Schizosaccharomyces pombe: one gene and its partners. Changing the gene in region 2 together with the main gene of any one other region gives a genetic interaction. Each region holds a gene or a part of one and is shown on either strand. Other genes may lie near its edges.

Evidence for each region.
Region 1: mutations in acp2 (region 2) and crn1 impair growth when combined (synthetic growth defect), as found in Schizosaccharomyces pombe (2 studies listed by BioGRID, with this or other methods).
Region 3: mutations in acp2 (region 2) and adf1 are lethal when combined (synthetic lethality), as found in Schizosaccharomyces pombe (2 studies listed by BioGRID, with this or other methods).
Region 4: mutations in acp2 (region 2) and mid1 impair growth when combined (synthetic growth defect), as found in Schizosaccharomyces pombe (2 studies listed by BioGRID, with this or other methods).

What each region holds. Positions count from the first base shown.
Region 1 is NC_003424.3:1,027,719-1,036,540, reverse strand, and holds crn1 (coronin Crn1), read right to left. Parts: upstream 4,437-8,822; 5' UTR 4,360-4,436; coding exon 4,326-4,359; exon of another isoform or gene 4,284-4,325; coding exon 4,231-4,283; exon of another isoform or gene 4,183-4,230; coding exon 3,955-4,182; exon of another isoform or gene 3,914-3,954; coding exon 3,825-3,913; exon of another isoform or gene 3,776-3,824; coding exon 2,374-3,775; downstream 1-2,373. Other genes in the region: SPOM_SPAC23C4.04C (uncharacterized protein), read right to left, coding at 33-144, 198-508; haspin-like kinase Hrk1, read right to left, coding at 779-2,245; histone acetyltransferase Hat1, read right to left, coding at 4,848-5,123, 5,180-5,543, 5,615-5,730, 5,820-6,038, 6,100-6,203, 6,254-6,311; ssd2 (succinate-semialdehyde dehydrogenase), read right to left, coding at 6,744-8,225.
Region 2 is NC_003424.3:2,103,530-2,107,789, reverse strand, and holds acp2 (F-actin-capping protein beta subunit acp2), read left to right. Parts: upstream 1-2,356; 5' UTR 2,357-2,540; coding exon 2,541-2,546; exon of another isoform or gene 2,547-2,743; coding exon 2,744-3,140; intron 3,141-3,189; coding exon 3,190-3,593; 3' UTR 3,594-3,760; downstream 3,761-4,260. Other genes in the region: protein Atg14, read right to left, coding at 3,836-4,260. UniProt on the Schizosaccharomyces pombe protein: F-actin-capping proteins bind in a Ca(2+)-independent manner to the fast growing ends of actin filaments (barbed end) thereby blocking the exchange of subunits at these ends.
Region 3 is NC_003424.3:4,820,192-4,827,856, forward strand, and holds adf1 (cofilin), read right to left. Parts: upstream 5,936-7,665; 5' UTR 5,887-5,935; coding exon 5,884-5,886; intron 5,833-5,883; coding exon 5,727-5,832; intron 5,564-5,726; coding exon 5,259-5,563; 3' UTR 5,066-5,258; downstream 1-5,065. Other genes in the region: eIF2 alpha kinase Hri1, read right to left, coding at 1-182; checkpoint clamp complex protein Hus1, read right to left, coding at 1,300-1,403, 1,461-2,055, 2,110-2,122, 2,188-2,296, 2,345-2,387; fmp40 (adenylyltransferase), read right to left, coding at 2,752-4,458; C-24(28) sterol reductase Erg4, read right to left, coding at 6,492-7,665. UniProt on the Schizosaccharomyces pombe protein: Controls reversibly actin polymerization and depolymerization in a pH-sensitive manner. It has the ability to bind G- and F-actin in a 1:1 ratio of cofilin to actin. Binding to F-actin is regulated by tropomyosin.
Region 4 is NC_003421.2:1,142,423-1,152,298, forward strand, and holds mid1 (anillin-related medial ring protein Mid1), read right to left. Parts: upstream 8,014-9,876; 5' UTR 7,794-8,013; coding exon 5,031-7,793; 3' UTR 4,894-5,030; downstream 1-4,893. Other genes in the region: ppc1 (phosphopantothenate-cysteine ligase), read right to left, coding at 669-1,619; cytochrome c oxidase biogenesis protein cmc2, read left to right, coding at 2,046-2,224, 2,287-2,377; ubiquinol cytochrome-c reductase assembly protein Cbp3, read right to left, coding at 2,634-3,485; TIP41 type 2a phosphatase regulator Tip41, read right to left, coding at 3,961-4,719; protein Cwf20, read right to left, coding at 8,420-9,292; SPOM_SPCC4B3.13 (MatE family transporter), read right to left, coding at 9,821-9,876. UniProt on the Schizosaccharomyces pombe protein: Scaffold protein that anchors the contractile ring (CR) at the cell equator during cytokinesis.

The DNA of each region.
Region 1 (8,822 bases), 1.1 Mb from region 2:
TGAGACAAAAAATGTTTTAATATAAACCCTGATCAAAGTTTTTCGTCTTCTGTTGTTACATTGGGGTCGATAAGTTCGCCGTTCTTTACCTCTTCATCACGTTTTGTAGCTTCAATTTCCGAACGCAATTGCTTATATTCTGGGCTATCATTCCCCACTATAGTTAGCCATTTTTATAAATGTTTGATTCAATTTACCTATTTTTATCCCAAAGTGGTTTTGTAGAATAAAACTGAAAGATTAGTATTTTTATTATTTTGAGGGATTGAATTCTCAGCGCTATATTCAAGCTTGGTTTTTTAATTTTTGAATTATACTTACAGCAGATGCAACACCTAATGTGCAAGCAAACAATAAACCCATGGGACCGCCACGACTCCTTCCGCTCATCATGGTGCACTGTAGTCGGAGAGTCCGAATCATAAACTGGGAAATAGAAAGCCATATTGGAAATTATATAATAGCGACTACAATCATCATAGGATTTACTGAGGAAATAACAAAACATGTACACTCATTTGTGATTTAAACAGTTAATAATTCTTATTTACTTATAAGTTTTGCTAGTCAAAGATATGTAATTTTTTATGTACAACAAAAACCCCACATAAAATGGTCAACTTTAAGAAAAAAAATAACCAAAAAAGTTCACTTCGACGTCCAAAATTTAAAATATAAGTACATATGTATAAGATTTTAGCAACGCATACCATGAAAAAGAAAGGAATATTAAAAAAATGCGAACGCCGTTCAATTTTTTAGTATGCAAAAACCATAATTAGTATTTTTGACGGACCCAATTGAGGAGAGAAGTTGCAGATGTAACTGTAGATTTAGAGCGAATCGAGTCTTCGGCCTGCTGGAACTGCATTGTTTTAACAGGGTCAATAAGCCTAAATATTTGCTTAAGACGACTTCTCATAAGCGTCTCAGTCTCTGTTAACGGCGATGACAAGTTCTTTTTGTGTAAAAGTTGATGAATTAAATAATGCAGCCATAAAACGTTTGTAATGGGAAAAAACTGCGCCCATCTTCCTTTTGTCACTCTAGACATTAACCTATATATATCAAATTGGTAGTCATCTACACCGTTAAACAGATCGGGGTCGTTAAATTCATTGTAACTAATTATACCCTGAGAATACGATGCTCGGGCTAATGTAAAATCAATCAGCGTAACTTGAAGTATGTTGTCAAAATCATCAGCCTTATCTTGTGAGCCGGGAAAATCGACACTTTCAATGTCGTCAAGCGATATTTCATTTAAAAGAAACGAAACTTCCTCTTCACTCCGATCAGCTTTCCGAATAAGAATGTTTCCCCAATGTAAATCTCTATGCTCAAACTCATAACGAGTTTCAACTAAAGAAAGAATTTTTAATGTTTCATAAAAAACCGACCAGCACTCTCGCCAACTACGGAGCTCAAAATGTTCCAGATCTGTTCCTGAATGATCAAGACATAAAACACAATAAAGTTGCGTTGATGAATAGCTATCTGGTCGATCGTTCTCAGAACCATTTTGCATAAGATACCGATCCCATTCTTCTAATAAAAGTGAAGGATAAGTACCTTTAACGACAACTACTTGATGAAGGTTTGCAAAACCGTCGACTTTTATCCATTGGCTAATCTGTACTTCATTTAGGACATCAGCATATTGAGCTTGTCCGTCTTCTCCAAACGGGATAACTTTCCAAACAACGGGAACGTCATCAGCATTGCTGGCTTGGTATACTTCACTATAACTTGCTTCGCCAATTTTTTGGATCTCAAAAGTCTGAGACTTAACAAATTGACTGAATGGAAGAGCGTCTTCTTGCGCTACTATTTGGAGGAGCCGATGAAGTGGATCTAATTTGGAATTATTTGCGGGTTTTCCGGATAAAGCAACAGAAGATGACAAATTTACAACCTCTTTTTTACTGACTACCGACTTTGATGCATTATCCCGAGGAGAAGCCGGTATTATGACAGTAGGTACCAGGTTTTGATTTCGTTTCGCCAATAACTCATTTTCTTTGTATGAACCTTTTTTTAAGAGAATGTTCCAAGATAATAATGAATCTTTTTTCGGTTTAGAGTGAATATGCTCAAGGTCACTTCTTTCTTGGTTATTAAAATTTTCAATGTTCCGAGGTTTCAAAGCACAAGGCCGTTCATCTAAAGAAGCCCAAATTTCAATATCTTTATTAATATATCTACGGTTCTTTCCATAAGTTTTAACTTTTGAACGACTTTCCATATCTTTTCCTACATTTGTAAATATTGAGGTAGTAAGGTACGGAGGTGAGATGGAGAAGGCATGATGTCCGGGCTTAGTGATATGTTTAAAAAAGCATTCTGGACAAAATAAAAAATGCACAAAAAAACTTAATTACATTTTTCTTTAATTGCTTCTGTTAATTTAGCCAGCTTATCCTCCAATTGGGCAATTTTCCAGTCTCGGATTGCGAGTTCTTCCTCATATCGTTTCTCAAAACCTTCGAAACGTTTATTGAGATCGGCCAGATTGACTGCTGAAATATCTTTCTTATCTTTTGAAACATAAAAGGGTTCTTTCTCTTCAACTTTCTTACTTTCGGCAAGAGGAGCAGCTTTGGGTGCTTCGTCAGAAACTTCCAATTTCTTTTCCTCTGATGGTTCTTTCTTTACATCTTCTGAAAAGGTAACAGGGCTACTAGCTGGTTTCGGAAAAGATTTTTCAACAGGTGTTTTCTCACGCTTGGGCTGGGTTACAGTTTCTTCTTTCTGATGATTATCCTCATCACGTTTCTTCGATGGTTCTTCTACTTTTGATGCCGAAGGAGTAGTTGGTTTCACCTCCGGCTCTTTGGAAGGCTTTTGTTCTTCCGCCGATTCTTTCGGCTTGCTAACTGGCTGAGCTTCGGGCTTTGGTGTCTCAACCTTCTCTTCGTTATGTTTTTGTACCTGAGCACCAGCTGAGGGTACTGTAGCGGAAACAGCCTTTTCAACAGTACCTTTAGACTCATACAAAGTAGACATATCTAAAAGATCAGGCTGAGCATCTTTCCCACTGGCCCATTCTTCAGCTGTTAAGCTTGGTTTACCAGATGGGGCTGGAGGGTAAATATCGCTTTGGAAACTTTCAGATCGGCGAGGAACGATGAAACTTATAGGTTCAATGATAGAATCGTTCACGGACTTATAAGCACGCATAACTTCGTTTTCAGAAACATTAACTCCGCGTTTTGGCAAAAAGGCAATGCCTCGTTGGGGATCAACGGACTTGAATTCAGATAAATAATGGAAAACATCGTTTTCATATTCGTAATAGCGAATATTACCATCACCTTTACCTGCTAGATATATTACCTTTGTTCCATCATCCCAGAATGGCATAAGGATTCCCGAACCGGTGTCTAATGTGGTAAAACCACCTATCGGTTCAGACAGATTGGTAGGGTCCCATAAAGCGATTTGACGATCACTCATTTTACTGAAACCAGTTGTAGCAAAACGATCAAGGCTCCCGAGCCAAACGACACGGGGATTTTTAGCACCTGCATGACCATTTCCAACGGAGACTGGTTTATCAGTACGAGGGTCCCAGACGCGAACTTTCTTATCTCGAGAAGTTGTTACAAGTCTGGTACCATCAGCGTTGAACGACATAGACTGGCACATTACATCCATTTTCAGAGATACATGGGCTACACCCTTCTCACAATCCCACAACTTGATAGTATTGTCTGCACTAGAAGATGCCAAAACATTCGCTGCAGTGGGATGATATTGAACAAGACCAACTTTACTATACAAAAAAGTCAGTAACTAAAACCCTAATGCAATGTACGACATACCGGCTATGGCCCTTTAATTCAGCAATTGGATGAACATCTTCATAAGGCTCCATAACAGTATAATCTTCTGGTACTTTCCATATCATAATCTAATTCGTTAATACATAAATAAAGTCAAATAGCAGGATACCTTAGAATCATCACCGCCGGATGCTAATACTTGATCATGGAAGGGATTCCAATCAGTATCTAAAACAGCCGCAGTATGGCCCCGAAACAAATTAACTTGATCGGGAAGCTTTCCTCTTTCGTTTAAAGGGATAACTGCCAATGCACCTCCAGCTCCCGCATTCCAATTAACACTGAGGTAAAAGGGGTTCACACTCAATAGGTTAGAATCCCATGCATTATTGCTAAGCTATTGAAGACAATTAGTAAATTTCAAACCATTAAAGTATCGACCAACCTTTATGTTGTCGTAGCAAAGTTCTTTTTTGCAGGTTTGTCCAAAGATATGTCCTAACGTCAGTTAATAATTATTTACTCAAAAAGCATGCGTACTATATTTACTAGCTCTCACAAATCTTCCACTCATTTTTGAAAAAGAATAATTCCTTTATAAGATCGAATGAGAATTTGCTAATTGAGCTAACTTTATCCGGGGTGTCAGGTAATGAACAAAGTCGGGATCGGAATAGGAAGGAGGACGGATGAGAATGACAAGCACCTAAAGTTGTACTGGTCGTTGAAAATAACCAATATTATTGATAGTAGATATTAAAATATTTAAATTTTGGAAAAAGCAGTTCATTATGAGGAATTGTTTGAATTTTTATAAGGTGCCTTTATAGATTTTATTAAACTAGATATCACACTAAATTTGCAAAATATATACAAAATTTATATTATTAAAATGATCACTGTTTCAAATGTCTTTAATCATTTCAAGCGAAAGCTTTCAAAAGCAAATTATATAAAAAGTAATTGCGTCCAATAGTGTAATTTAGTCGATTCTCATAACTTTTTATGCTAATATGCCTTCAATATTCTCAAAGTATTTCAGATCTCTAAAAGTGTTTTCATTTAGGAAGAAGATTGAGCAAGTTTTTGGCGTTTTCGAGGCGAATCTTCCTTAAGCTTGGGTAGCTTTTTGACAATCTGTTTATACTCATCAAACTGATTTTCATAGGCGTTATGAATTTTTTCAATACGTTCGGACTTATCCAACTGTAGCAACACATCAAGATTTTGACGAAAAATCCTTTCCTTTATTCCTAGTCTAACAGATTTCCGCTCCAATAATGAAAGCTTTTTTAGTTTCGTTGTAAATGCTAATTCACAACAGCGTGAGAATTGACGCTAAAAAAAGACAATTAGTAAGTTGCATTGCATGGTAAATTTAGCAAATTACGAACCTGGGTTAACTTTGTTTCAGCTATTTTCGAGTTTATCCACTGCCTAGAAAGAGAGGGATGAAAGTCAGGTTCTGAAAATATTCCCATTGATAATAATCTTTTATAGTCGCAATGGTCTCTAAGGCTATCAAACGCTTCCGATGCATCCTCAACTGTGAAGTCTAAAATTTTAGGATTTTTCAAAAAGGTACTAACAATAGCATTGTACAATTGCGAACCGTGTCCTTGATGTTGAAAAGGGGGTAAAATCACGAATTGTGAGATACGAGCTCGAATACCATCGTGAATTAATTTGTCCCATTTATAATATTTGTATACAGTACAATAACCACGTAAGCAATAATCATCTTCAGTAGTCTCGTAACTTATTTTTGTTAATAAAACCTCGATAAAAAGGTAAAAGGAAAGTAGACGCGTAGAAAATAACAAACTTACAGTAAATATACCATCCATCTTGGATCATTAAGGTCAATAAAAGAGCCCCCTTCAATAAAAAATAAGGAAAATATTTGCAAATGCTGCATAATCTCACTAGCTTCAAGAACCGTTGCCTATTAATACATTACGATTATTAGCCAAAGAACATATAGGGATATTCAATAATTGAATACTTCTCCAATTGAAAGGTAATCGAACATACTTGTAAAATCTTGAATGTTTTTCCATTAAAGGAATAGTTATGAATACTATTTGCCGAATGAACGTCAAATGAGTTTCCTTCAACCTTAATGGAACGATCTTTTAGATAAGTGTTTAATGTTCCTTCAATATCAGTTGGTTCCACTCCTGAATCTGGTGCTAGGCGCTCTGAATATGAGATTTCCAGTTTTGGGACCATCAATGGGCATTCATAGGTTATCTAATAACTGTTACTATTTGCAATCAAATTTCATGACTAAAACTTGCTGATTTAATCTTACAGTGACATTTAGATCTTTATATCCATAAATAACCTCAGCATCTCCAAATATTGCATATGTATTGCTAGGATGGTATTGACAATCTTTTTCATGCTTTTCGTTTACTGACAGGTGTTAACACAAGGTAAAAACATTATAATTTAACATAGCATACCTTGTACAATTTCTATGCATTCATTGGCATTATGTACCCATTCATCAACAGCACTCATCACTGCATACGGAAAATTGAATACCTGACCCTATTTCAAGTCAAACAACAAAAAATACATGTGTCTAGTTGGAAGTAACAAACTACAAGGCGACGCAAAATTTCACGTGCTACACCTGTTATTATTAAAAAATATTTACTATTATATAGATTTCTAGCTCCAGTATTGCCAATTTTAGAACCTACAATTCTTTATAACTTTTCAGATTGCTCAGAACAATAACTACAAGTATAGATTTTCTGACACAACAATCCATTCTTCATCGATGACCCACGATGTTCAGGTATTAAATTTTTTTGATATCATTAAACTAAAATACGATTTGTATCGCAAACATGTAAAACAGTCATAACATCAGGATTTTTTAGTCATTAACCAAAAGAGGACATCATTGCTTGTTCAATAATATGCAGCTTTCTAAAGCGAAAATCCTTAAAGAGTCTTGAGATTGATTTCCTTAACCACCATAAATTCTTGAACGCCCAAACGACCGGCTTCCTTGCCAAAACCGCTCTGTTTGATGCCGCCAAAGGAAATAAATGGTTCGTCAACCATTTCGATATTGGCACCTACAAGACCCACCTCTAGTTCTTTGGCAACGTGGATCATTGTGGACAAGTTATTGGTAAAGACGTAACCGGCCAAGCCAACATCACTGTCGTTAGCCCATTCGATCACCTCTTCGGTGTCGTCGAACTTGAAGACAGAGGCGAGTGGGCCGAATGTTTCCTCGCTAGCAACCAACATGTCTTGAGTTACACCGGAGAGCACGGTTGGTTCAAAAAAATAACCTTTGCTTGAGGAAATCTCCTTTCCACCAACAGTGATTTTGGCACCCTTTGAAACAGCATCTTCAATGTGCTTGCTGACCTTTTTGCATCCATCTTGAGAAATCAAAGGGCCAACAGCAGAAGAAGAGTCAAATCCATCTCCTACTTTAATGGTCTTGACTTTTTCGGTAAGCTTGCTGACGAATTCGTCGTAAACATTCTTGTGAACGTAAACTCTGTTAGGGCAGACACAAACTTGACCACAAGAGTTAAACTTGATAGTGCAGAAAGATTCGACAGCCTGATCAATGGGGAAGTCAGGGAATACAATGAAAGGGGCATTACCTCCTAACTCCATTGAAACCTTCTTGATTGTGCTGGCACTTTGTCCCATAAGAATTTTACCGACATTAGTACTACCAGTGAAGGAAACCTTACGAACGATAGGGTTGGTAGTCAGTTCTTTACCATGAGCAGATGCATCAGAAGAAGTGATCACATTTAAGACACCGTCAGGGAAACCGGCCTCTTGCGCCAACCTGACTAAACCTAAGCAAACGTAGGGAGTGCGGAAAGCAGGCAAGAAAATAGCGGTACAACCAGCAGCCAAAGCGGCACCACCTTTACGAGCAATCATGGCGGCGGGGAAGTTCCAAGGAGTAATCAAGGCACTGACACCAACTGGCTGTTTGATGGAGATGAGAAAGTTTTGACTTTGTAAGCTGGAAGGAGCTACATCGCCAAAGGTACGAACGGCTTCAGCAGCATACCATTTAAGATATCCGCTACATGTGGTGACCTCCATCTCAGCTTGGCTCAAAGGCTTGCCGTTTTCTAAGGTAAGCATCTTGACCAAGTCGTCTTTGTTCTCCATAATAAGCTCTGCCCAGCGTTCCAATAACTGACTACGTTGGACATGAGTAAAATTTTTATAAGTTTTGAAGGCCTCGTTAGCGGCACTGATGGCTTTTTTTGTTTCCTCTACTGAGACATCGGCCACTTTACCGATTATTTCACCAGTAGCTGGGTTATCAACCTCAAAAGTTTTGTTGTTAGGAGAAGAAATCCATTTTCCTTGAACAAAAGATTGAGCATGAGACTTATCAAAGCCAAAGAGCTCAGGGCGTTTGAATTGAGGGGCCATTTTTGAAGAGTATTATACAAAAAAGTGGGAAGGAGTAAATGTTAAAAACTATATGAAACGAAGTTATCGATAGAAATGTTATTATTATTTATAATAATAACAAATAATAGCGTAAGCAGCAACAGATCTTTCGTGGAAAAAAGAAGAATGCAGGTTTTTTTAGTGTTTTCAAATTAAGCTGCAGATTTCTTTTTTTTAATGTAGTGTAAACATCGAGAGAAACGATGCATATTTATAATTTTTCAACAAGACATTTAATGATCAAACCATAACGTATGCATCTTGGTTTTCCGTACTAGATTTACGTCTCAACATCATGTTCTTGGTGTATGCAAACATTTCCCCTGGAAAAAAAGAAAGGCGTATTGAATTTGCGTAAATATCGGCAGACTAACTTATAAATCATAGTGTCTGGTTTGTTAGCTTACGGCTCCCGTCTTCTTCAATGATGTATATAGCGAACTTGGTGGAATTGCATTTTTTACATCATATAATTGAGTGCCACCATATGTGAATATGTACCGACTTTACTATACTGAATGGCAGTAATATAAGCTACAGCTACTGTGAATGAGTATGAAAAGAACAGTGGGTAAA
Region 2 (4,260 bases):
AAATTAACGACGGTGAAAAATAACTACTGACATAAGCCATCATTAGTTATATAAATAAAAGGAACTACGATAAAAAAAGGCGTAGGTAACATTGTCAAACGGAACACGAGATATTAACAAAAGAGGAACAATAGCACCACCTTTCCACAGTCTACAATATAATGGTGGTAGACGCGTCGCAACACAGAAAAGAAACGTATCTTTGGCAAAACAAAAAAAAAATTTTAAAGTCAGTTCCTTTCAATGAAGAGACTACCAATTCCAATTTTTTAACCTTTAGGATAAAAAAGCGACAATTCTAACAAACTTCGACAAACCATATCAAAATCCTAAATCACCAGCAAAAAATCCAAATTAAGAGTTGGACTGCCCTCACTGCCTCACCCACTTCACCTGTCATAAACACAAACAAAACTACTTACAAAACAAAATTGCCACGTTGACGTATAAGCTACAGCAATCAACACAGCAACACTGAATATCAAATTGCTAATAGTACACAAAAACAAGAATGAACAAAATTAATGCCGGCTAACCTTCACAACACACGCGCGCATAAACTGCCTATTACACTAAAACAAGCAATATGCAATATTTACTTCGTTGTATAGCGCCAAACAATAACAGATAGCACAAATGACTTAAGATTTATAGCGACTTGGCTTCAAAGGGACAAAAAAGTAGTGCCCTATAACAAATTAACGATTAATAACGATATCGAACTCTTCCGCGCGACTAGCAATTTCAAGAGTCGAACCGAGGAAAAATGTGGTTTGCAGAGGGAAGGAGGAAACATGTTGGTATAAGTCACCGTTGTCCTCAGGGTTAGGGTTTTGATGTGAATCAACATTGCGGCGGATGAACGATTAGATGATAATTTCAATGGAGGGCGACTGACCAATTATCTTTCTCCTACGTCACCACTGGCTAAAGCTATCAGGCGCAACGCAAATCGCGGGGTGTTATTGTAAACAAACAAAACCAAAAAATTCGGCCAAACTATGTGTTCTGCAAGTAAACAACTTAATAATAATACAATTAAAAGATAAATGATCAACAATAATTGCAGGTTAACTTCTTACAAAATTTCGATAAAAGTTTCAAACCCACAAAGCACATTTTCTGTTTTAAGTGTTTGTAATCACACACTCACTGCTACAACAACAGTAATTACAGCCTTTGTCAAGACAATAAACAGATAGAAATACGGAAAAGTGCAATTATCCAATGTAATCCTCCAATGTACTGACAAAAAGGTTCAATCCAGTTTAAGCAAGGTTAGAAATGTTTGTTTACACAATTGGTTTCAGCCGTGCGCTAGTAGTCTTAGTATGGCCAAACATACGAAAAAAGTTAGAATGCAAGATTCGAACTCGGGATTTCAAGAACTCCGAACGGGACAAAGAATCTTATGGAACGGAATGGAATCATTTCTCGGTCATTTGAGAAACCGTCCTACAATCTGATTGGTTAAAAGGACCACACCATGAAAAAACCCATGTGATTTTTGCGAATCAGAAATCGGTGAGAGATGGGAGTTGAACGCTTGTACATAATTACGTGACAGTGGCAAAATCTAGGCTCTCCCAAAATTTTTGATCACAGTTAATGTTCCGCAAATTTTTAGAACGTTGAGTCGCGCTATTCCATTTGAAAACCGTTTAACAAAACAAATTAAATGTTCTTTATTTCTAAGGAACGCAGTTTGAAGATATACGAACACTAAATTCGTAAGTTGTCATACTGCATAACGACAGTAAAACGTTATTAAAGGTTGAGTGGATGCTAAAACAGAAGGTGAGATGTAGATAAAGATCAAAAAGCAGTTAAACAATGCATTTGTTAAGGTTATAAACATAAGAATAGATTTTAAAAGATCCATAGTTTAAATAAAATGAAAGACCATTGCTTAAAATGAAAGAAGGACGTTTGTTATTGACTTTTTTATGACTTTACATGGTTTGACTCGTAGAAAATCCAAACTTTAGATAGAAAGCGATTCAAGCATTGACTTTGGCATATAATTCTCCTTGTTTCTGTATTAAGGAATTTAACCGATATACAGAAAAGTTTTGTATTCGTTGCCAATACTAAATTTAACTTGAAAATGTTCAATATTGAAAAATAGACAGCTTATTGAAGTGACCAACAGTAGCATCTAATAAATTCTTGACTTTTTCCGCTTGAACAAAATGTGCTCTTCTTTTGATTATTTTTAACAGCTCATTGATATTACCAGTTTGATTATAAAGTAAGTTTGAGGTTGGTTTTTGCTACGTTGTCATCACCAGAGGGTTCATCGTTCAATGTTCACCGCCATATGTTGTTCACTTTCTAAACTTACGCAGAAAGCACCAGAGTACAAGTACCTCACCACCAGTCAGTCACCTCTACTATTTGTGTACTGCACCGTGAAGAATCTTCGTAATTTATGCGACGAATCTAAAGTTACTTCCTATAATCATTAAGGCCTCACTTTTATTCTGAGATCGCTATCCGGTTGTATTCTTTTGTTTAAAGCATTATATCATCAACTCACCATGAATGTAAGTATTACTGAAATTAATTACCTTGCCCAATTTTTTTGTTATATTTTTATTATATAGCCATCTGTAAATTCATCTTATCATTGAATGCATATTTCATCGATTTTCGTCAGTATTGCTCAGAGACTTTATGAATTTGCTTTTCACATTCTTTGTCGTTATCCTTCTTTACAATATCAGCTAACTTATTCTTTTAGTCTGAAGACGCTGCATTAGATTTACTCCGACGATTAAACCCAAAAGATATCTCTAAAAACCTAGACACAATTCTTTCCGTCGCTCCCGATTTAGCTGATGTCCTTCTCTCGTCTGTTGATCAGCCTCTAAAAGTAAATACTTGTTCTGAGTCAGGTAATCAATATTTGTTATGTGACTTTAACAGGGATGGAGATTCGTACCGCTCACCATGGAGCAATAAATATGATCCTCCTTTGGAGGATGGTTTAGTTTCTACTGATCGAGTTCGTAAATTAGAAGTTTCTTTGAATGAAGCAATCCGTGTCTATCTTGATCTTTATTACGAGGGCGGTGTTAGTAGCGTTTATCTTTGGGACCAAGACGATAGTTACGCAGGCGCCGTTCTCATAAAAAAGGGTATTTTTATTTTCTGTCAATTTCATTATATAATTCTAACTTCATTTAGCTTCTACTTCTAACTCAAGCGGATGGGATTCTATTCACGTGTTTGAATGTCTGCCTACCACGGAAACCAACGTTTATGATTACCGACTTACAAGTACTATTATCCTTTTCCTTTCATCTGGCTCGGAGGAACAGTCTGCCTTGCCTTCCAAAGCTCTTAACCTTTCAGGTCATTTGACTCGCCAAACTTCTCAACGATTACCAGCGGCAGATGATGACACTGAGATCGCTAATGTTGGCAAATTGGTTGAGGAAATGGAAACTCGGATGCGCAACTTCCTCCAGGATGTCTACTTTGGAAAAACTAAAGATATCATCAACCAGACTCGTTCCATTCAACCCGTTTCCGATGCCCAACCAAATGATTCGGCTTTGCGTTCAGTTTTAAACGATCTTTCCATTTAGGATTGCTTTTTGTTTTCTTTCCGTGATCTTCTCATAGTATTCGTTCCATCTTCAACGAAAATAGTCATAGAAAGATTGACTAATATAAATAAATACACCGATAATCTAATTTTTTTACAACAGTTTTAAAAGAAATTATTGAATTTAATTGTTCAGTAAAAAAGTTTATATAAATAGCATTAAAAAATATACGTTAAGAGACTTTATAAGAAAGCTGTTAATCGAAGATCATGTAAAAAAGGTCATGAAATAAGCTGATATGGTTTAGACGAGGAACGTGATCGAAGAGAGGAGTAATTTATTGGAATTGGAAGACGCGCCAGGTATAATCGGTGAAAAAGGTCAAAATCCATACCCATCTTGTAATGCCAATCTGGCTTTTGAGAAGTTAGCGGCTTGGTACGTAGCTGAACTAACCAGAAACCAGTATACTGCATTAACTCAAAAAGCTGGGATTGGGTAATTCCACGGGGAAACGAAAAAATGCCACAGTTCCATGAAATCCAAACTATGTTATACATTATATACAACATTTGTTCCGATGAAAATGAAGTCATGGGTTTTTGATCAGGCGAAGGGAGTTGAAGCGGGCATGGTAAGGGAATACTGGTATACTGAGCTAAAAATATACAAATAAAGGATAAAGTTAAAGCACAATCAGGATTTA
Region 3 (7,665 bases), 2.7 Mb from region 2:
GAATGCTTACAAAAGCTTTCTAACAACGCAACGAGAAGCAACTTGCAGGAACTTTGAGTATCCGCGGTTTTTTTTTCGAAATTCTGTTTGTAACCGAGACCAATTGTCGGCATAATCCGACTGATATTTTCCTTGGCATAGTTGCAATCCCTTTTCGAACATTTAGTAGAAGTGCCGAGCATTCTTGTGTGAATGAATCAAATCAAAGCAAATAAGAAAAGAGAAAGAAGAATTGAATAAGATGAGTAATTTAAAACATGAAAATTATTCCTTTTTTTTTTCTCTAAATGAAACGAAATGTACAATCCTAATTATCAGTCTATATTGAATATATAACAATAATAGTAACAATGCTATCTATGAAAACAAGAAAGAATTTGCAATTAAGGAACGGTAAAACTATTATAGAAAGAAGGTACGTTTAAGTCAATTTATATGTCTGTATATGTGTTGTTTATGTAGCGGATTTCCCCGGATACCTCTCCATATTTAAGTTATTGTGGGATTTTCACTATCGTTACCTCTATTGCGATACCAACTTTTCTAGGTAACAACGTTCAGCCCCTTTCGTACTGAATGTTGGTACAGTTTACATGTGTAGCCGACTGCATCGGAGGAGGAATAACTATCGAACATAGTCAATTCCGATGACAGACAGCCTGAAATTTTCGCACTTTTAAAGAGGAACTCGCCATTTTCATCACTTCTACGTAAAATGTATAGCGATGCCTCCAAAGTACAAGAAAGAATAGGCGGAAATTAATAGAAGCTACAGTCAATGGCATATATCTTCTCAAAAAAACGATTAAAATATTCAATTTTTATTAAGTATATATTTCCCATTGAGCACTTAAATGTTCAATTGAGACTTTATAGATTTCTGAACAGTTGCTTGTCTAAAAGATTAAAGAAAGATGAACCAAGGTTTATTCATATTCAAGTTAATTGCTTGAAAACATACGTTTGTGTTTAATCGTATGTATCTCTCATTGAAAACGTGAAAACATATGGATTTTATCAACAGATTTTCTGTGACTTGAACATTATATTTCTTTTTGGTGTTATCCTTTTAAGAGATATCAACGGAATAGTAAAACACTGAGTTGCCGAGATTACAACAACTGTATAAAATAAATAAAAAAGAACGGTAAGATCGATAAAGGAAGAGAGAGAAAATAAGTATAAGCATGGTAGATGTTGATTAATCTCTTTTCATTTTAATGTACATTAAAAATGTGGCTAGTCACTCATAACAATTATTCGTTAATTAAATCAAATCATAAACAAATTGAAGTAACCTTAGTCCACATAGGTACTAATGTAGTATGTTAAAACAGCCGTATGTTCATCTTCTGGATCTGTTATATAAACATAAAGTACTAGCGCATGTCCTTCACAGAAACCTGTAATGTAAAAAGGTTAGTTCGTGGTCATAAAAAGGATTCTCTCATAGTACATACACGCTATTACACGCTTTGCAACACTGGATATTTTTAACATGTTGACTAAGTCCTTGCTGTCTAGTCTCATGTGAACAAATTCTTCGGGTGCCCTTGTTTGAGAGGGATGTCGACTGATGTCTTCGACTTGACTAGGATCTAACTCTGGATTCTCTAATCCTTTCCATTTTGTGCTTACTCTAGCTGAAGGTATGTTTACCGATAACTGCAATTCGCCTGACATGTTGGCTGACATTATAATACGGTCTGAAAGACTCTTGTATTTGTCCACGACGTGTCTTAGAAAATTCAGTTGTGGAAGGAATATATGACAGTCTGGTTCAGGAGCAGTTGGTTCCTTAATAACTGACACGTATGATTGTGATAGTACTCGAACAGGTATATTATGAGTCACAATATTCGAACCAAACGCCCTTCCACTCCAAGTGGTAGACAACGAAAGTAATGGCTGGTTATTCTTCTTGGATAGACGAACAGTAGAATCACTAGCGTTGGCCGCTGATCGTAAGGCTTTATAGAAATTATCTATAGGAACTTCTAGATTTATCACGTTGTCTGCATTGCTTTGGACGACATAGTCCTCAAATATTGTTTCCTTTCCGTTTACGTTAGTTAGGGCAATCAAATAGAAAAAGATAGTTAATCATACGACTTCTAAAACTCTGTTTCTTTATTAGTTTCACAATGTGATTTTTTTCACCGTTAAATGCTTAATATCTTCACTTACGACCAAACTTGAGTCATCCTAAAATCTGGCACTATCACAAAATTTACAGTTTCAGGCATCAGACGAAGCCAGCAAAATCTTCCAATTTTATCTAGCGCCTGAACAAGACCTAAATTTGATTAGTAAACGAACTTTCTGCTGATCTTTTCCAACTTACGCGTCAACGTGTACAAGTTGCTAATCCTTGTTTTAAATCTCATTTTCAGTCTTTGATTTAACTAATGAGATTGAGATTTTTTGGCATTTTGTTTATTCAAGCGTTTAGCAGGTTAAAGTCGACCAATAATAAATTTTCGGTCGAAAAAACTACGAACGCGTAAAAGCCAGCTAAGAAATAGCAAACTGGGCATTAGCAACTGCATCGCAATCTTTATTAAGCAAATGCAAATTTTAATGGCAAGTGGAATAAAATTAATGAATAAAATTTAAAAAGATTTACAAAAGTCTTAGAGTCTAAAAAAAATTATACTCAAGAGCCTATTCGTTGTATCATTTATTTCATACGATTAGCTATTCCTAAATTTTAAATTACATTAAAAAAATAAATGGCAAGTAAGAAGGGTTCTAGCTAGAGCAGGAACATTGAATTTGGCTTTTGGAGGGAGTAGTGTTATAGCATAAATAATCCTCTTCTTCCTTGGAAAACCCCCAAGTATCTTCGAACGGACAGGCAGCCATTTTACACACTTTTTTAAAAAGCTCAAATTTCCCGATGTATGCTTCTTTAATCACCTCTTCAAGAACCCAATTTCTAAGAGTAAAATGTGGGTTGACTTTTTTCATGCTCGCTAATCGGGATGAATCTTCCTGAGTTTTCGTTGCTTCACTATATCGACCAACCCAATTAGTGAAAGCTTTGACAGATTCATTTCTAACTCTTTCATTATTCGGGTTTAGACAAATACATGCTTGCATCAATTTTGCAGCATATTCTTCATTCTCCATTGAAGAGGGAGAGTTTCTAGAAAGAAAGGAAAAACAATTTGGCATATCCAATTCATAATCCTCCAAAATTTGTAACAAATCAGTTATCAGAATTTTGTTAGATGAGTCAGAGGGAAGACCCACTCGTTTGAACATAAGATCATAGAAATCATTCTGGACAATATTTTTATACTCTTCTACTATCTTTTCAAAAACTTCAGAAGTATAAGCAAACGCCTTTTTTAACAAATCAGTAGAGTTATGAAGTTGTTCCATATATTGCAAGTCATCAACTTTGTCGCAAGCTCCAATTAACTCAACCAAAGCAGATGCTAATTTTGATAAATTCCAAATAATAATATCAGGTTGGTTGCGATATGAATATCGCAAAAATACATCGTCATGATTAGGTGTAAAAGATGGGTTGTAAACATCTAAAAATCCAAAAGGTCCATAATCAATTGATAGTCCCAGTATACTGGTATTATCAGTATTCAAAACACCATTCATAAATCCATATGCTTGCCATTTGGCTACAGTTTTAGCATTTCGATATGCAACATCTCGAAGAAGTTTTTCGTAGCGATTTCCAGTATCTCCACCATGAAATCCATCTTTTAAAACGAAATTTAGACAATAGTCGGCTAATTTCCGTAAAGACTCAATTTGATTATTAATCCCCTGGAGATCGAAAGTCCCAATTCTGATCCAAGAAGGGGCCATACGGCAAACAACGGCGCAAGGCTCTACAGTCTCACGTTGTGCTACAACACCTTCAAGATTGGAAATTGCCAGAGCCTGTGTTGTTGGAATGCCTAGAGCATATAAAGCTTCACAACATAAATATTCTCGAATGCTAGATCTTAAAACAGCCTTTCCATCTGCAAATCGAGAGTATGGTGTTCTTCCTGCGCCTTTGACTTGAATCTCAAAGCGTTTTCCAGTTTCCGGGTTGGTAAGTTCGCATAAGGATACTACGCGGCCATCACCCAACTGACCTGCCCAATCCCCAAATTGGTATCCTCCATAACATTGCGCCCAAGGACAACACTTATTGACATCAACGTTAGAACCGACAACAAGCTGTTGAAAAGCTTCAGTTTGAGTTTCAGATTCTTCGAGTCCTAATGACTTCACGGACGAAGGGCTATAAGCTAATAATTGAGAATTGGCTTTTAGTGATGGAGTCAAATAAGTAAATAAGCCGCCGCCTTCCACAAATCGAGGAACATGTAAGATTCTGTCATCAGCCTTTTTCATTGCCTGTACGGTCGGTACCAGTGGATCAGGCGGAAGATTTGATGTGAACGTTGAGCTGACAGGGAGATCCTTCAATTTTTTTGACATCGTATTGGTATATCGAATTAATGTTCTTTGCATACCAATGTTTGATTGTGCCCCAGTGTAAATTTGCTTACTTTATTGATTATAATAACAATAAAAGCAGCAATTCACTTACATTTGATCAATAACAGATCAAGTAGACTAGTACGTTGAAAATAGCTGGTAAAATACATGCTATGTGATCAATGAGCAAACTAATGAAAACATCATTTTAAAATGATAGCGAATGAACAGCAATTGTTATATTAATATGGAATGGCATTACTTTGTAGATCGTTGGATTTCGTAATTTGTTAATTAGCATTTTTAGGAATGCAGAATCATTATATATAGAGGAATATTTGTAACAATTTCAATGACTAAATAGTGGTAGATGAAATCTACAGAATTAAAAAGTCGGAACTGAGAAAATAAAACTAAGCTTACTTACTATACCATACTTGAAGTAGATGAATAAAAACCTGCAAGCACCCAGGCACTCAAACATTTCAGCTAGTGGTGGAAACTGCGTAGAACTAATTTCTCTATGATTGCTTGTCAATTACATTGGCAAATAACTTGCAGTGTTTTTCATATACCGACTCATCCGTTATCACATGACAAATTTTTTAAAGTAGATATACTATTGACAAATTAAATATCAACAGGAAACCAACGTACACTTAAATCTTTGTATTTATAGTTCTAAATATATAGAAAAAGATATTTAAGGAGCGTTGAAGGATCGGTTTGCATACCGAAACGAAGTTATTTAATTTCATTTCGTATTACGCATGAGTCAAGAAATCGTAACCAAAAGTGTTTTACTTACGAGTAACCTTCTCAAGAACTGTCTCATAAGCAACTTCGGAGAAATCAGTTGCTTGGATGTCAGTACCGATTCCAGTAAAAGCGCGACGTAAAGTATCTTTAGAAGAAGAGTAAACCATCTTAGATTTAATGGGAGCAACATCAGGAGACCAGCTAATAAAGATAATCTTGTTACGAACACCTTCTCCGAGATTGAACTCAAAATCATAGATAGCATAACGGCAATCCTTTTCAGGCAAGTCACCAAGGAAAGTATCGAAGTCCTTATCCGTACTCTTCTTTTCAACAACAATTTCAGCTAAACAAAAAAAAATTAGTGAAAGGTTCCACATAATTATAAAAACGACATAGAAAGACATTACAAACATAAAATATATATCAATGTAGATAAATAAATTTATTTTTAAAAAAAGGGATATTGGACTTTCTCAAATTCCATCTAAATCGTTTTCGTCACTTACTCTTGGTATCGTTCATTTTGAAAACTACGTAACGGAGTGACTTTCCAAGCTTGAGCTCTTGGAAAGCTTCCAAGCATTCGGGAGAGACTTTGACACCTGAAAAAGACTAATGTATGTTAAATAAACACGATGTAAAGTTAACAAAAATATTTCATACCATATTATTTATTTACTGATAGCGGGTAAGCTAGTGTGGTTGGCACTGGTTTGGTTAGGGGAGGGCTACTCGCATCAGTAGATACCGTCGCCCCAAGTAAGGGTGGCGCACTACTCTAAACAAGCAGAGTCTATAATTTCTTATTATTATGTTGCATGACCCTTATTAAATATAAGCGAAAAAACATACAGTTCTACAAAAAAATAATAGCAAATGGTTATGCGTATGCACTACCGCCTAAATATTCCACACTAATTTATATATCTAGCAAGTGAGTGAACTAATGCAAAAAAAAATTTAACTGTAAATGGATCGCTATGAAGAAACAAGATGATTGTTACTATTTATTAGCTATTCCTTACGCTATTTCCAAAAATCTTTATGCAAAAAGACTTGGAAGTTAATAATTTTTAAGTCTAGAAATAGATTGTATAAAAAACGGTCAGAGCTGCTTACTTTGTTCGTTCATAACTTAAGGAATGTTCCAGCTACTCAATCAAATTTGAGAACTTTCACAAAAATTAACTGAATTTTAAAGTAGAAAAACACTTCAAGTGGAATTTTGAATAGCCAATTTATTAAGTAAAGAAGGGACTAAAAAGACATTTCTAAAATATATAGGGAATAAATAAGTAAGGGCATATACGGCAATACTCATCGAAATCAGCCCCATACTTAGCTTTGCACTTTTTAATATCACGTGAAACACGATGCACAAGGACTACAAAGAAAAAGCATGGGTAAAAGTAAGGTAGAGGGGACTGAAAACCGGTGATCAATGCCCATGACAATGATTGAAAGAAATCAGCAGTATAATGAATTTTACGAGCGTACCTATACCAACCTGAAGTCAACAAAGTACCGCCATTTGCACAACGAATAAAGGTAGGGTTCTTGATGATAAGCCAGGGAAGTTGGGGAAATGTTTTGCGATGAACCTCAGTACCATAAATTTGATTACGGAAATGATTTTTTTGACCATTGCAAGTATCAAATATATAATAACAGCAAAGAAGCAAAACATAAATACCGGTTGTATATTGAGTTGACCAGTTGTAAACAGATGGATCATGCGAAAAAAGGTAAAGGGTGCAGTGTGAATAAGTAAATGGGACCCCAGCCATGTTCCAAAAGATAAGCATAAAACCAAACTTTTCATAAGCCATGTCCCAAGTTGGAACAATCAACTGCTCTCCCTTCGAGCACGCGTTTGCATACAAATAATGGCCAAGACAAACGAAAAGTACCTGAGGACTTACAGTGCCATAAGTTTCATATTGACGAACAGCAGCACCAACGGAAATAAAGAATAGGATAAACCAAGGGATACGAACTTCAAAGAACATTTTAAAATCAAGCAATTTGCCAAGGCGAGGATTCAAGCAAGCTCCCATAAAGGCATCGTAGATGGGATTTCCAGATAACCGATGAGGTTTATCAAAAAGTCGATCACCAAAAAGCAAAGTTCCAGTGTACAAAACAAAGGTACAGACAAAAGCGGTTATTATTGCAACGCTCATCAAAGGACCGAACATGTCGATAAATGTAGTAATTGGAAATACGTGGGTCACGTGAAGAACGGCAAGAATAACAATTGTCGTGTAAAAAGACCAGATAGCATTGCATAAGTAAGGAAGACGTTCGTTATTGCGATGCTTTAAAGGCAAACCTTGCGTCCGAACACCAGGAAGAGTTAAGTACATGACAGCCTGAACTATACAAAACGACCAAAAAACCAAGAATGCATACCGTGTTGGATAGGCACCGACGTAGATATAATGG
Region 4 (9,876 bases), on a different chromosome or scaffold from region 2:
AAATCTCATAGGTTTTTCATTGAACTATATAACAATCGCCGTTGTTTGTGTACGTGAGCTTGCAATTAAACATGAGCATTTTAGTCATGGGGTTTGAAGCGACTCATAAGAAGTATGGGATCTCAAAAAGAACTGAAGGCTTTAGAAACAATCATATACGCTTACTACTTACAGGTACTCACTATTTATTTTTTGTTCATTCAAGATAACTGTTGCGCATTTTAAATTCAAGTCTTTGCTTTCTATATACTCCTGACATTGATTTTTATAAACTAATCATCATTTTTAATATATTCTTTAACACACTTCAGACCTGAGTAATCTACAACAGTAATAAGTATCTAAAAAAAAAGCTGCAATTTTTAAAAAATTACAACAGATCCAATAGTACACGATTCAATTCATAGCTCGTATTAGCAATTTATAAAGCCTTTCATTTTTTTCGTAAACCCCTCTACAAATGCTATAAAGCAACTTCGTAAAATAACAAGACGAAAATGATAGAGAAATAAAAAAGTACCACTGGTGTTTGCATAATAAACCCTAACAATATAAATGAGTAAAATGTTTAAAAGAAAAACCGATAGTTCATATAAGTTAAAGCAGATAAGAAACATAACTAGTACTTTTTATAAGTTCATAATCGACTAATCGTCAATAAACATAATTTAAGGTGCCTTTGCGAACTCTTGAATTCGTTCCTTGTGCAACGAAATTGCCCTCGAAACAATGTATTGCTCGATTTCTACCTTTTTTACAATGTCATCGTCGCTCAAATGAAGCCATTCAACCGTTTTTGAGGTTACAAACGCGACAGATCGTTTCCTTGTTGAAAGAAGGTTGGCGATCACCAGCTGGTGGTTATAACGTTGTAAAGCTACTCTTGCTTTATCAATCAGAATACTAGGGTCGGTTTCTAATTTAAAGGAAATAATAGAAGCTTCAGGAGCCCATGTGTCAACCAAGAAACGCAGAAATTTTGGAACCGGATGCATTTTGACTTCTAATTTGTTACTTCCAGAACCACTTTGAATTTTGTGCTCGCTCAATTCCTTCGGTGGAATATGGAAATCACTAACAGCAGCTGCTAAATAAAACAATGCTCTTGAAGCGATTATCTGTAAACGTTCAGCTATAGCTTTCAGGTACCACAAATATTCTGTGAGTGTAGTATAAGGAATCATTATCAGTCGATGATGTTTCGTATATGTATCTAATTCGTTGAGTGCATTGAATACTGTCGATTGAAACTCTTGTTTGACAATCCAAGGCTTCTCCTGACTGCCATTACTTCTTTCAAACAAATTTGTCCAGGGACCTTCATATCGTCGAGTAAATGGCATTAAACTATAATTTCTATACAGAAAAATGACCGAATATCCAGACTTGCAAAAGTATTCAGCAGATGCTGCACCACGATTTCCTGCACTAAAGTTATCGATAAAACGCACCGTATTTTGCTCAAGAGGCACAAGTGTGCCGCCACTAGTAACAAATGCAATGTTTTGGGAGTTTGATTGAAGGTTTATAAAATCTTCAATCAGACTTGAGACATCACCGAGTGAGTTAGGACAAGGATTCTCCTCAAAGAAATCGTTAGATTTATCCATTTCTGGCATATATTCTAAATAGCTAAGAGTATCGCAACCCAGAAATGCCTCTCTTACGATGAGCTCAAAAATAAACAAACGACGTTTAAAAAACTGTATGCGTTATTGCTGAATGATAGGACTAGAGAACTCACAAAATCTGAAATGCTAACCAAACAGTTCTCTAGCAGCTTGTAAATTCAGCAAGTAGTGGTCTGTTTATTGAACAATGTAGACGATAGCGACACCACAAACGACTGAAACGCGACACTTTGTGATTGTATTACACTTAAGGCCTTTTTTTTTTATTCAACTCGTGCTTGTCTTTTATGAAAAGCTAAAATTAAAATAAATTTTAAGTTTGTGTTTTAATCAACTTAAGACTAAAAATTTTCATTTATTTGCGCTCTGTTGGGTAACGTGGTTTAGTTACCAACATTTTACTGATTATCTAAAATGAATAAATCTCCAATTGAAGAGGAATTTGATCTTCGGAAACAGCACCAAAAGCTATTAAAAAAAAATTGCCAGAAAGAAATTGAAGATTTTGTGAAATGCGCTACTGGCAGGACTTTTAGCGTAACCTGGAAATGTAGAAGTGAAAATAAAACGATGAAGGATTGTTTAACCAAAGCGTAAGAAACTTATTCATCAATCATGTATAAAAAAGGATATGTAACTAATATGGAATATGCAGCGCAGACGAAATATCGGAGTGGCAGATCAGGTCGGAATACAATAAAGCTAAACAAGAAAGCTTTATCGGAAAGCAAGACGAAAAGAAGTAGCTAATTAATGCATCGATAATATCGGTATTAACTGCTATTAAAATACTAGTTCCAATACAACATAATGCTACGATTTCAATTAAATTGACAAACATTCTCTACTATAAAATATTTCAAAAGCTCCTCATTACTTTTCAATTTAACGTAATGGTAAAAGCTTTCAAAGTAATTATTTACAAAAAAGATTCATGGTTTTGCATAATAAACATGACCGTTCGTCAATTTATTAATCATTAGAGTAGCAATCATTTATTAATCAAATATTTGTTTGTGCACTTTCTTCAGGTGGGACGAAGTGTACTCCCTTCCCATTGATAAAGTCATCGGTTGATAAACATGACAGGCGATAAACATTGAGGCGAATAAATTTAACAATAGTCTCAAGAATTACTAAGTCGACGTCTGGGCGACCAACGAAAAGGTTACGCCAAACGGATGTAGCCAAAACAGCATCACTTCCCAGCATTCCTTGATCATAACCAAAAATGGCGCCGGTCTGTTGCTGAAACAGATCTTTCAGATACATACCAGAAATTCGATTGCTATTAATGCGGTAATCTTTATGAATTCTGAGTTCCATGTCTTCAAAGAAACGAGTAGTTAATGCCTGTGAAAAGGCAACTTTTTCATTTTTTGGCAAACCACGAATGCGAGTATGGAGGATCCACAAATGTAATTGCGTTATTTGAAACCAAGACTGAAATGTCATAGGAATTTCACACTTCTGGTACCAAAATTCAAAAGCACCTAGCGAGTTTTTTTCGGGGGTAGCTTGTCGAGCAGCCTCAAAATACATGTATCTTGCAGTACCAGTAGCCTCATAATATAAATTTTGTTTAGGAGAGATATATTTTTGATAAATAAGACTTATTTTCTTTAGAAAACTATTTGGCGGAGCCACTTTACGTGGATCTTGAGGAGGTGTAAGGGGTTTGTATCTGAGTTCTTCTACTGGGTCTCTTCTCTTCGTTTCCGAAGGTGAATGATTAATAACATTTATTGGAGAAAATGAAAATCTTCTTCTTAAGGGACCGTATATACTCTTCCCCCATACCGGCTGCTTAACAAATGCTGGTCTCAATGGCAAATTTAAACAGCAGCGACTCATTACTGAATGACGATAAGGATCTTTTGATAATCTTTTCTTAATTAATAAAATTAATTATTACCTGCAAATAAATACGTAGGAGTTGGGTTGAAATAAAAAACGGATCGATTAATGTCGTACAATATAAAGGGGAAGAGAGGTTGTGACAGGTTGATTGCCAAATACAATGTTATAACGAACGATCAATATTACGAGGCCATCATTCTTCCTAATTAAGTATACTCTAAAATTTACTGGACCATTTTAAATTTGTTTGCAGTTTCAGTAGTATATCTTCGCCGTTTAATCGTACCAAAGATTGTATCTATTTATTTTGCTTTCTCAATTAGAAAACCTAAATTAATAACCTCTTAGTTGAAAATGATTATAAATATTACCATGAACTAAACGTAATAAACTTGTAAATTGCTTCAACACTCATTCGTTGACAAAAGTTCTAAATTCTCATGTCTGCCATTAGCGAATCATTTTAGCATCAAAAATTCAATTTATAGATTTTATGGTCAACGGTATCAAGGCGCTCACTTAACCAATTGTTATCATCTAGCAATGCAGCTTTGTCTCCCCCCACAGGTATTTGTTTAATAATTTTGTCGTAAGTAGCTTGCTTTTTACGGCAGTCCTTCAAGAGAAAATCATTCAACAAATCAATATATATCCTCGTCTCATTCAATCGAACATTTACCTTGTCTAAACGTACGACAAGGCGTGCTAACAATATTAAATGACCCTGAACAACTCGAGCTCTCACATCAAACATTGATTTTCCATTATCTGCTAACTCATCTTCGAAAAGAATTATCTCATTGAACCATAAATTTTGTCCTGCGTTAAGTATTTTTTGAACAGGTATTACCTGATCAATTTCAATGAATTTTGCATTTGGACGTTGTATAGTTCCCTGATAATCAGTATAATAAGTCCAATCAAATGGGTAAATCACAGGGTATTCTTCTCCGGGCTTAATTCTGGATTTGGCCCAGTCTTTTGCAAAAGAAACTTGCATTACATCTTCAGGTTTGGTACCAACCATTTTAAGAGCATCTTCAGTAAAAAATCCAACTACAGGCTGATTCTTGTATTCAATTGAGATGTAATTATTCCCAAAGGTCATCTCAGGAGGTGGAAAACCCAATGTACTTTGAAGGTTCTCCATCTCATGGCTTTTTAAAATTGACCCCCGTTGGACTTTGATAGTCCAATATTTAAATGAAAAATCATCTTGTTTTTGCATCTCCTTTAAATAATGTGATTTGAGTAGTTGCTTGACCCCTATATTATTGTAACAATTTAGAGTGCGTACGGCAAAATATAGGTAATGTAAATTTAGCCAACACAAAACACCTTTATATTACTTTACTCATTATAGAGTATATTCAAAAAACCAAAAGTTGATTAATTATTCAGATTAAAAATGAAAAATGATCTATAAGTATTAATTCAGTAGTTATATAATTTCAGTTCAACTCCCTCATTTAGTAAATCCGATAAGTAAAAATTATTCAAAAAATACATTAAGACGATTAGTATTCATAAATTCAGATATTAAGCCATAAAATTCACGTATTCTTGTAACCATAATTTCTCAGTACCCCTATCTAGAGCAAACGAGCGTGAATTCATCACCTGAAGCCATTTTTGGCAAACCTTTTTAGAGTCCGCAAACAACTGAACATGCCTTCTATCAACAGATGTAGCCAATATTCCAGCTACTAGACCGAGGTTTGAAACTGCCTCTGAAAAATTTACCATTGGGATTGAAACTACTGTCTTAGAAAGCTGAAAAGTATCCAAATATTGCCCACCTTTTTCAGCATAAAAATTCAGCTGCTTTGAGCGTAAAACGACAAAACGTCTTCGAATAGATGAATCTTCCAATCTATACAAGTATCCCTCATTATATAGATAGTTACTTCTAACGTGTCGCAAGTCCATCGTAGCTTGTTCTAAGGTAAATGGCAATTCCTGCTCTGGAACCGAAAGCTCAGGAATATACAAACAAGTCAAAGTTAGATTACCAAGTGTACGTTTCCCTATAGAGTTTATTTTTACAGGAATCGCTTCCAAGAAGCCTCTGGAAATGATGGGTATTTCTACGTTGAAAGCCTTTCCAAAACAACTGTCTTTGACATTACCCAAATTTAACGTAGCAGTACCCGAGACTTTCTTGATAACCACTGACTTCTTAGCCTTTGAATTCTCAACTGCAGCAGCCTTGTTGAGTTTTCTCTTTTTGCGTCGGTTGAAAAGCTTGTCAAAAAATTTCCTAGCTTTGGATTTCGTTTCAGCAGGCTTACCGTTTGAAACGTCTTTTGTAGCAGATACTCCTTTCGAACCGTTGGACTTGTCCTCAATAGGGATGTCAAGAAACATAAAACTCACTTTAAAGTTATCGTCAACATGAAAAGCAAAATCATGGTCCAACCTATTATTCCCATTAACAGCTTGCCAAGGAAGCTGCATATTTTGCGTAGGCGTATTAACTATTATCTTGATAGGTGAATGGACTTCACTTATCGAAATATTCAAAATGCTGTTCAAATGTATATAAAAGCGACCAAGTGGCAAGGGCGCCTTTGGTTTCTCTTCAAAAAATGTTTCATTCACAAATCCAAGAGAAGTAACAGGACGTGGTGATTGATTTTCAGTACCATTCGGGACTTCGTAAGACGTACTCTTATCCTGACTTGGAAGATCAAGGCGATTCAAATCAAAGGAATGTGCACGACTTAAAAGTTCGCTATCTCTGGCTACAGGCGTAGACTGCCTAAGTTCATCAATGCTGGCGGATATCTCGGCACTAGGGTCGTAAAAACCTACTGTACCAGTTTCCGAATAATTCCATCCTTCGACGTTATGGGACTCAGAACTGACTAAACTTTGGCTAGACTTGTTTGGCTCATTTTCACAATAATTACTATAAGTACGCTTCGTTCCTGGTACGGGTTGCATTGATGGGTGACGTAAATCTTCAGAGCTTAAAATAGCACTCAAATTGTCAATGGTAGAACTGCTTTTTATACGACCACGTTGACTAGATATACTATATCCCACGGAAGCAGAAGTTAGATTGTATCTGGGGACTTCATGATACGTTACAGATCCATGACCATAGGCGGCCTGAGATTTCGGAATTGAAGTGGCACTAATATCCTCATCCATATTTTCCTGTTGTAAAGAATCATTGATAATAGTAGAAATCTCAGGTTCTGAATTACGGGAAGATTGAAGGTATAACTCATCATAGTCTTTACCGTTGGTGGGAAGGGAAAGCTCAGAGAAATCATAAACTTTCCTAAGTGTACTAGCATAGGAAGATCCACTGGAAATCCGTTTTGCTTCCATCTTGGCCAAAACCTTTTTACGAAGACTTTCTGTAGAGATATCTGAGTCGTCTAAGGTGGCCTCTGGGACTGAAGAAAAAGGCTCTGAAGTATCTTCAACAGGGGCTTCCTGAATGGGAGCTAAAGGTTCTAAAGGTTTATAATCCATATCGAGAGACGCCGTCGTTTCGACCCTTTCCAACGCTGGATTGTCCTCTGTGGTATCTTTGGGAAGACTAGGAAGAATCCTTGGACCTACAGTAGAAGATGCAGATAGATGTGCTGGAGGTACGGGCTTGACATCAGATGGTATGCGAGCCAAGTTGGGAACGCTTCCAGCTCTTGCTCGGGCTGGGTTTGTAGACAGTTCATTATGGGATTGATATGGATGTTGAACAGTGTATTCCAACGGAGACATTGTCTTAGCTCGACTAAATTCTGCTACTTCTACCGCCCTCTTGCGAGACGATTTGGAGCGGTCAAAGGATAATTCAGCTAAATTTTGATCCGGATTAAATGTTTCATAATCTGCAACAATATCAGCACCTTTCAAAGACGCAGTAGAAGAACTTGTCGAGTTCATAGTTCCTGCCGAGTACGTCAAACTAGGAATGCGACCTTCTTCCTCGGAATTAATCCTCTTAAACACTGATGTACTACTCATTCTTTTACGATTATCAGGACTATGTTGAGAAGAAAAAGATGAATCGAGGTGCCCATAGCCATGCATATACATGCTTCTTAAATCAAGTGACTCTAAAAGATCTGTCGCAACGTTTAGTTCCGAAAGGTTTCCAAGGGACATATCGCCATCTCCATGTGTAAAGTTTTTTGTTTGATCATATCCCGAGGTTTCATTACTGTTACCCTCAAAAAAAAGGGGTGTTTTTTCTCGATTTGGAGAAGAAAGAAAACTGTTTTCTAAGCCTTTAGAGTCAAGAGACACATCTTTTGCTTCTCTATATGAGAACTCTTGCTCTTTCATCGTCAGGATAGCTTAATTAGACTTTACAGACTATAATACCTTATCGAGTGTTAAAATGTGGACACAGTATCATATAAGCACCCTGAAGTACAACAAAAGACGAGCCTTCTTCTTTATAGCAAATATTAATTCAAATTCTATTAAAATTGATGCTAAAAGCACGAAAACCTCTTATAATTTATTGAAATCCTTCTTCACCTCAGTCATGTGGAGTAGGCATAGGTCACACAAAATCGGTAGACGCTATGATAAGTGGTAGTCCCAGTGAGAACACTGATTATATGGTTAAACAATTCAAACTCTGGATATACCATAAATCGAAGATTAAAGCCAAGTTTCCTTTTTAAAATTAACAAAAAAAGGCTAGTTGCATTGCAAATATGAATTATAGCTGGGACATACTTGCAAAGATAATATTGTATTATCAGTATGCTTATGAATAGCGATGAATAAAGTCATTAGTATGTAAAATAAAATAAGTAAAATCATATTTTGTTGTCTGCTATTTTCGCAGAAACTAAAAAAAAATACATAAAATGAATCTGTTGATAAACAGCTTTTAATTTACAAATACACGAGCAGTTAAAACCTAAAACTAACTATCGGGGCGTAACATTTACTTAAAGCTAAAACCCATACTTTTGAGAAGATGCCTTTTTGTTTGATCGTTGCTGCTCAAAATAAGCTTCAAAGTTGTCTTTTTGACTGATAGCCATTTCAACAAGAGAAGACAGTTGATGACGACCAGGTGCAACACTTTTAATAGTAGGGGCGCTTGGCAATGCTTCTTGGGTCGGTTTTGGAAGTTTGTTGATATCAACGTCTATAATTCGTCCCTTCTCTTTTCGGTGGCGTCCAATTTCAATGTAATCTTCATTGATAATGTTTATGTCCTCTGCATTTGAATGTACTGAGTGATTAGCAATAGAAATGAAATCGTTCTCGGGTTGATTCCTCAATTTCGGAGGATTTGCTCTAGCTTTAGGTTTTATCAAAATTGGTTGGTAAGGTTTCTGATCGGAATCTACTAAAGAGGCTTGCTTTGACTCTGATCCTACGATATTAAATAACGAAACGTTACCAGACTTTTCTGAATACGTTGATTTCTTGACAGTTTCGGAGGATCCAGTAGAGGTTAAATCGCTTACAGAGTTATTAGGTAATAAATAGTTTTCATTTAAATCAAGGTCCGATCTTTTAGATGACTTTGGAGCTAATTCAGCTTGATTTTTTGGGGCAGGCAAAAGTTCAAGTAAATCATTAGATTTAAATCGTTCATTAGAGATAACATCAGATTCATTAAAAGTTTTATCATTAAAAGAAGATTTCTGTAAATCAACTTGCCGTTTCAGGCGTTTAGGTGACTTTTTAGTGCTGTCAACCGACAATTTTCTGCGCGCATGCTGAAACAAAGTAGGATCGAAACTTTTAGAAGCTAATGGTGTTTCTTCTTCAATATCGCTTTCGGATTCTGATCGAGGATATGAAACCAGAGACATATTTTATTAACTTTTGATATTAAGTCGTTTAATAATTCTGAGCGAGCGATTTGTACTCGGTAACTATTCTCACTGCGAACAGAATTATTTATGGCAATTAATATACTCGCATCTGCAAGATGATTTACATATTTATTCAAACTTAAATTAATTCTTTAAGTAAGTCTTAAAAAGAAATAATATTTAATTGAATGCTACCGCCCAACGTTGCTAGCTAGCATATGTGGTATTTTATATATTAATCACCCAAAAAGATTCCAAATTACCATTAATTTAATTTACTTTTATAAGCTTCATAAATATGAGAGTTTAAAGCACTGCAATTTTCGTAAACTTAATTTTTAGGATAGGCCAAAACATGGCCAAATCTTGAAGACTGGAAAAAGTACCGACTCGAATACTTTTATCAATCAACTGTTAGTAGTCGTAACCATGGTATCATAAACCGAACATATCTCTTCAAATATATCAATTTATGACAAACCACAATACATATTTAAATAATCATTAACTTGTCCGTATCAACTTTTAAGCCTCATCAAACTGACGATTAGCAAGTTCAACTAAATGGTCCCAATTGACAT